2 linked regions of the Callithrix jacchus genome follow. The protein of the gene in region 2 purifies or fractionates together with the protein of the main gene of each other region. This does not show direct contact. Links are inferred from orthologs where the notes say so. Each region holds a gene or a part of one and is shown on either strand. Other genes may lie near its edges.

Evidence for each region. Proteins that work in one complex are often made in the same cells at the same time.
Region 1: the proteins of CDK2 (region 2) and SPDYA purify together in Homo sapiens (affinity purification with western blotting; 7 studies listed by BioGRID). This does not show direct contact. The link is inferred for Callithrix jacchus from reciprocal best matches to the Homo sapiens genes CDK2 and SPDYA.

Annotation. Positions count from the first base shown.
Region 1 is NC_133515.1:86,204,626-86,207,746, forward strand, and holds the end of SPDYA (speedy protein A), read right to left. Parts: intron 2,183-3,121; coding exon 2,076-2,182; 3' UTR 2,064-2,075; intron 609-2,063; downstream 1-608. Other genes in the region: TRMT61B (tRNA (adenine(58)-N(1))-methyltransferase, mitochondrial), read left to right, coding at 26-103, 189-232. UniProt on the Homo sapiens protein: Regulates the G1/S phase transition of the cell cycle by binding and activating CDK1 and CDK2.
Region 2 is NC_133510.1:63,708,567-63,712,521, forward strand, and holds the start of CDK2 (cyclin-dependent kinase 2), read right to left. Parts: upstream 2,801-3,955; 5' UTR 2,566-2,800; coding exon 2,450-2,565; intron 1,724-2,449; coding exon 1,646-1,723; intron 1,534-1,645; coding exon 1,413-1,533; intron 806-1,412; coding exon 635-805; intron 112-634; coding exon 10-111; intron 1-9. Other genes in the region: melanocyte protein PMEL, read left to right, coding at 3,865-3,940. UniProt on the Homo sapiens protein: Serine/threonine-protein kinase involved in the control of the cell cycle; essential for meiosis, but dispensable for mitosis. Phosphorylates CABLES1, CTNNB1, CDK2AP2, ERCC6, NBN, USP37, p53/TP53, NPM1, CDK7, RB1, BRCA2, MYC, NPAT, EZH2.

The DNA.
Region 1 (3,121 bases), on a different chromosome or scaffold from region 2:
ATAGTACATATATTTTTTACAACAGAAGGATCACATTCTGATTTTCCATATGGATCATGTCCCTATATTGCTAGACCAGTACACTGGCAAGCTGGTCATACAGGTGAGTAATGTTTTCAGACCATATTAAATGGTGTTTTTTCATCTAATTAATATAATGACTTTACGTTTTTCTTCTCTTAAATTAGCTTTTCTTGTCAAGTTGAGGAAGGTCAAACCACAACTTAACTGAGTACTCCAGATGACAGCAACTGACTTGAAAGATGGAAAAATATCAAAATAGAACTTGTTACATTGAAAATGACCACTTTCATAGATTGGTATTTTTAACTATTACTATGACTTATATAACTTTTACATATAATTTTGAAAATAACAAATAAAGATGTACAACATGGCAAAACTGCTTAAACATCCCATTTGACACTTGTCTTGCAGTTGGTTTGACATTTTGTAGTAAAGGTTCCAGACTGGTTTAGTTGAGCCATCTCATTCTTCACTTCCTGTAAACCACTCCATAGATTTGTCTTTCTTCAAGAAATTAGTTTTTTTTCCTTTGTTTGATTGATGGTCATTGACTACTGAAATATAAAATATGCATTTAAAGATAAGTTTTATGTATCTGTCCATTTTAAATATATGTTATAATGGCTTATATATATGTCTTACAAAATAATAAGGAAATCTGGGTTACAGTAAATAATGGGAGGAAACTTAAGAATGATATAATCACCTTAAATAATGGGAGGAAACTTAAGAATGATATAATCACCTTTTGTTACAATTTTGTTAAAAATTGTAACAAAAGATGTAACAGCTCTTGAATCTATTTTATTCCCTTCAGAATTTTTTTAACCAGCTTGAAAGAACATAATCATTGTTCAGTGTTACTACATAAATCAGTGTTTGGGGGTCAGGCAGTGGCTTACACCTGCAATCCCAGCACTTTGGGAGGACAAGGCAGGCAGATCACCTGAGGTCAGGAGGTCAAGACTAGCCTGGCTGACATGGCAAAACCCTGTCTCTACTAAAAAATACAAAAATTAGCTGGGTGTGGTGGCGGGCGCCTGTAATCCCAGCTATTGGGAAGCTGAAGCAGGATAATTGCTTGAACCCAGGAGGCGAAGGTTGCAGTGAGCTAAGATCATGCTGCTGCACTCCAGCCTGGGTGACAGAGCGAAACTCCATCTCAAAAAAAAAAAAAAAAGTTTGGAGAATGCATTTTAGAAACATGAATTAATTATAAATAGGACTTATTATTATTCATAGATACCAGTTATTTAGCATTTAACACATACCATACATTGTTTTGAAAACTTTGTATGTTTTTCACTTATCTTTCAGGTTATACATATTTTACAGATAAACAGTGAAAATGATTAGGTTGCTGTTTAAATATGGATGTTTTATAGGTTTTTGGTTATTTTTTTCTGCTGTTGGTGCGTAATAAAGGTTTTTTTGTTTGTATGTTTTGTTTTTGAGATAGATTCTCATTCCATCACCCAGGCTGGAGTGCGGTGGCATGATCATGGCTCATTGCACCTCAGTCTCCCAAGCTCAAGTAATCCTCCCACCTCAGCCTCCCAAGTAGTTGGACTACAGACACATGCCACAATGCCCAGCTAATTTTTGTGGGTTTTTTGGTAGAGATGGGATTTTGTCATGTTTTCCACGCTGGTCTAAACTGCTAGGTTCAAACAATCCTCCTGCCTTGACCTCCCAAAGTGCTGGGATTATAGGCATGAGCCACCATGCCTGGCCTGTTTTATGGGCCTTAAAATAGTAATGCCGGCCGGGCATGGTAGCTCACGCCTATAATCCCAGCACTTTGGGAGGCCAAGGCTGGTGGATCACGAGGTCAAGAGATCGAGACCATCCTGGTCAATATGGTGAAACCCTGTTTCTACTAAAAATACAAAAAAATTAGCTGGGCATGGTGGCGCACTCCTGTAGTCCCAGCATTTTAGGAGACTGAAGCCAGGAGTTCGAGACTAGCCTGACCAAAATGGAGAAAACCAGTCTCAACTAAAAATACAAAATTAGCCAGGTGTGGTGGCACATGCCTGTAATTCCAGCTACTCAGGAAGCCGAGGCAGAAGATTCTCTTGAACCCGGGAGGCAGAAGTTGTGGTGAGCCGAGATTGTGCCATTGCACTCCAGCCTGGGCAACAAGAGCGAAACTCTGTCTCAAAAAAAAAAAATTTTTTTTTAAAGAAGATGCATTTAATATAGCTCACCACCAAACATCACAGCTTAGCCTAGACTACCTTAATGTGCTCAGAACACTTATATTAGGCTACAGTTGGGCAACATCATCTGGTAGTAAAGTACACTGTTGAAAATAAGTCATTTACTCTCATGATTTCATGGCTGCCTGGAAGCTGCAGCTCACTGCCTCTGCCCACCATCAAGAGAGACTATGATACAGCTTTCCACTGAATTGGTATAGTCACTATAGGTAAGTCAAGGACCAGATGTATTTTCAAACTTCTGTCTGGTATTCAGAAGCCCCTTCCTTTAATTCTCTGGGCAAAACAGGACTCAGTCAATGCCCAGCTAACATATTACTTTGATAAGCCTTCCCCAGGGCTGGGCACGGTGAATTGTGCCTGTAACCCCAGCACTTTGGGAGGCTGAGGCAGGCAAATCACCTGAGGTCGGTAGTTCGAGACCAGCCTAACAAACATGGAGAAACCACGTCTCTACTAAAAATACAAAATTTGCTGGGCATGGTGGCTGGCACATTCCTGTAATCCCAGCTACTCAGGAGGCTGAGGTAGAGAATCGCTTGAACCCAGGAGGCAGAGGTTGTAGTGAGCCAAAATCGTACCATTGCACTCCAGCCTGGGCAAAAGAGTGAAACTCCATCACAAAAAAATAAATAAAAAATAAAAAAGCCTTCACCAAAGCTCTCACCCACAGAATTAATTCTAAAATCTTTTGTGCTCCTCAGTGTTGATCATATACTTAGCATAGCCCTTATTAACTTATATGCCCTGATTATGCCTTCATTACGTGTAAAGATCTACAACCTGGATGGCTAGTATGGTGGTAATGATAAAAATAAATAAGAAAATTCAAAGAAGGATTTATTTCTGAGGAAAAGTTATTTGGTTTTAGA
Region 2 (3,955 bases):
CCTCCATACCATCTCAGCAAAGATGCAGCCCAGGCTCCAGATGTCCACAGCTGTGGAGTAGTATTTGCAGCCCAGGAGGATTTCAGGAGCTCGGTACCACAGGGTGACCACCTGAGGGACAAGAATAGGGAGGGTGGGGTGGTTTATAGGGTACAGAGAGTCCCAAATCTCAGTTCCTCAGCATTACTCTGCTAACTCTTGGCCTCTTAACAAGCAGTTTCCTTCCCTCCATCTTTGCCCTCCCACTGATTTTCAGTCCATAGTTCTGGAGACCATGTTTTCTGAAACCCCAATTTGAGATCTTTCTGGAAAAACTTGAGACAAATGGTCATCATAATTTTATTTGATTTTTTATTTCTGTAGAGAGTGGTCTTGCTATGTTGCCCATGATGGTCTCGAACTCCTGGGCTCAAGTGATTATCCCACCTCAGCCTCCCAAAGTGTTGGTATTACAGGCGTGAGCCCAGTTAGCAACACAGTATGAATTCCATGCATACCCTAGGACTCTTTAGGATGTCAAGAGATTACTTCTACCTAGTAAGAAACTGTTGGCCAGATATTTTTAGTAACTTTGTGAATGCCCTAGTTAACACCTCTTGGGAAACTCAGAGAAGAAAGGCAAAAAGGGACTCACCTCATGGGTATAAGTACGAACAGGGACTCCAAAAGCTCTGGCTAGTCCAAAGTCTGCTAGCTTGATGGACCCTTCTGTGTTTATAAGCAGATTCTGAGGCTTAAGGTCTCGGTGTAGGACCCGATGAGAATGGCAGAAAGCTAGGCCCTGGAGCAGCTGGAATAGATAGCTCTGACAAAGGAGAAAGAGAGGACTGTGTTTCTTCACCACAATGAGCAGATTGGGTTTGCTCTGCGCCCCCATGGTTCTACTAAGGCCTTTACTGCGTTGGATTATAATTACATATTTACAAGGTATTTCTCCCATTAAACTGTCAGCCCAGAGAGGATAAGGAGCAAGTCTTACTCAACTTTGCATTCCTTTTCTATATGCTGCGCATTGAATAAATGTTTGTTAATAGATTCAAAGTAGCTCTGGGAGTGAAGAATCCAGCCCTAAAATAGATAATAGACTCATTGGCTAGTTCTTCCACCAAACAGAAGGGCTTTTTGGAGGAATTTACCAGGTGCTCTCAAATCCCATTTATCTGAGTTTCATCTGACCTCCCACCTGAGTTGCTAGGTTGACTCACTAGAGTTTCAACTTTGATTCTTCAGTCCAACCCTGGAGTTAATGAGTATAATGAGCAGGGAAGAAGACACAAAAAGAAGGGGAGTGTGTGTGTGTAGTAGATGAGGGCTCAGAAGAAGGCCAAGATCATAAAATATCACCCAGAATTGCCTGCCATCAGTCCCCCAAGACACGTCCATGATAGGGGGGAGCTGATGAGAAGCATTACCTTGATGAGGGGAAGAGGAATGCCAGTGAGAGCAGAGGCATCCATGAATTTCTTGAGATCTTGGTGCAGAAATTCAAAAACCAGGTAGAGTTTATTTTCTGTGTGAATGACATCCAGCAGCCTAGAGAAGGAAAGGTCAAGGAAATGGAGGTGCGAGAGAGAGAAATGGCCACACTGTACAGACAGAACTCATCCTTCTTTCCAACTGGATCTACTCTCAGACACATACTTACTTGACAATATTAGGATGGTTAAGCTCCTTAAGCAGAGAGATCTCTCGGATGGCAGTACTGGGCACACCCTCAGTCTCACTTGGAGAGGTTGGGAAAACAGAGATGGGAATATGGTTACAAACACTCCTTTTTCCCCCTCCCAGTCATTTCTTTCCCCCAAGGAGGCACCACCCAGCACCCCCTAGGAAAGTGAGAGAAGAGAAAGGGTGCTGGAAGGAGCTAATTCCTGGGTAGTCAGGGTGTGGCTTTTGGACATATTAAGGTCATTATCTCCTCTTTTCCCAGGGGTAGGTAAGTAAAGCTGCCTGGTGAAGGTAAAGCAGGGAGACTGTAACGGGTGAGAAAATAAAAAATAAATTTAAAAATGCAGGAGTAGCACCCAACCTCCCCAGAGGGGCCAGTGAGGTTCAACTGCCATTCTTTGGAAAGAGGAGAGAATTCTTAGGTGAGGGTGGGGCAGTGAGGAGGGCTCTTCATTCAGAAAGGCGCTACTCGTCTGTTCCCACATAACTCAACTCCATGGAGAGTCTTGGACTTCATCTCAGAGGCCTCCTTTCTCTCCCCGAGTCTCTGTGGTCGCACAATTTGGGGACGCCATCGGGCTCAGTTTGAGAAGAAAGTTTTCCATAGATTCTACACCACCCTGTACTCTCCACCTTCTACAGGCCCCCAACCCACCCCTCTACTTCTAAAGAAGTCCCTCCCTGCTCTCTTCCGGTCGCTGGACCGCTACCCGCCCGTGGGGGGTTGGGGGGCACAGTTAAGGAGGTCCCCTTAGGAGTCCCGGGTACAGAGGCCACTCACGTGTCCAGGCGGATTTTCTTAAGCGCCACAACTTCTCCCGTCAACTTGTTTCTGGCTTTGTACACAACTCCGTACGTGCCCTCTCCGATCTTTTCCACCTTTTGGAAGTTCTCCATGAAGCGCCAGCGAGTTGGGTCTGCCCGGCCCTGGAGCGGGGGCCTGGGAACCCTGCAGAAGGCGGTCCCTAGCTCTCGGAGGCCGAGGAGGGGGAAACAGGGCCCAGTACCGTGGCCCGGCGTCGGGATGGAACGCTGTATACCTCTCGCTCTTGTCAATTTGGCCAACTTGAAACAATGTTGCCGCCTCCCCCAGAGTTCCCGACCGCCACCAGAGGCCCCGCCCCACCTTCCCGCGTTTCCCTGGCTCCGCCCCCAGACCTTCTTATTGGTCAACGTCAGAGCGGGGGGGGCAGCCCAGAGCTCCTCCCCGCAAATGACCCCGCCCCAGGCAAGTTTGGTTCTTGGGGGCTAGACAAGTTTCTTTCCCGGTGGGGCGGCTGAACACTCTTTCCAAGTACCTGCTTAGGGTCCGAGTTTCTATGTTTCTAGTCTGTAGGGATTTCTTGATTTCTAACTCACTATTTCCACCACTCCCGGGGAAAATATGTATCGACTTAAGGTTAAATTCCACCTGGCCCAGGAGCCTCCTTTGAAAAGCAGGAAGTCAGGGATCTCGTTGTAAAGGATTCCTTGGCCTCGGAAGAGTCGTTGCCTCCGCCTCATAGCCTACCCCAACGCTGTCTCTGTTTTGGGGTGCAGGGTTCTTTTTGTTTCCTTTTTATTGAGACGGAGTTTCCCTCTTGTTGCCCAGGCTGTAGTGCAATGGCGCGATCTCGGCTCACCGCAACCTCCGCCTCCCGAGTTCTAGCAATTCTCCTGCCTCAGCCTCCCGAGTGGCTAGGGTTACAGGCATGTGCCACCATGCCCGGCTAATTTTGTATTTTTAGTAGAGATGGGGTTTCTCCATGTTGGCCAGGCTGGTCTTGAACTCCTGACCTCATGATCCACCCGCGTCAGCCTCCCAAAGTGCTGGGATTACTTACAGGTGCGAACCACCGCGCCCGCCCTTGTTTCTGTCTATTTGAGAAATTCCTGGTTTAATTCACTCTCCCATGATGAACTGTTGTGTCTGGTATGTGTTATGCAGCTGCCTTTCAGTCAGCTCTTGCCCGAGAGTGTATCAAGATGAGAATGACCCTGTGAAACCAGAAACTGTCATTGAGTAGCAGGATGGGAAAGCAATGTCTAGGGCCCAGGTTCCCTTTGTCAGTTTGTTTTTTCTTTTTCCTCTCCTCCGGCCCCTCCCAGGCATTCTCTGAAGGAGAAGAGGAAGGGCTATGCAAATGAGCACCCTTTTCTTATATAGGGGCCTATCCCAGCCCCTCAGTGTCTTTGGTTGCTGGAGGGAAGAACACAATGCGTCTGGTGATGAAAAGGTGCTTTCTCCATTTGGCTGTGATAGGTGCTTTACTGGCTGTGGGGGCTACAAAAGGTATGTGCGGATATG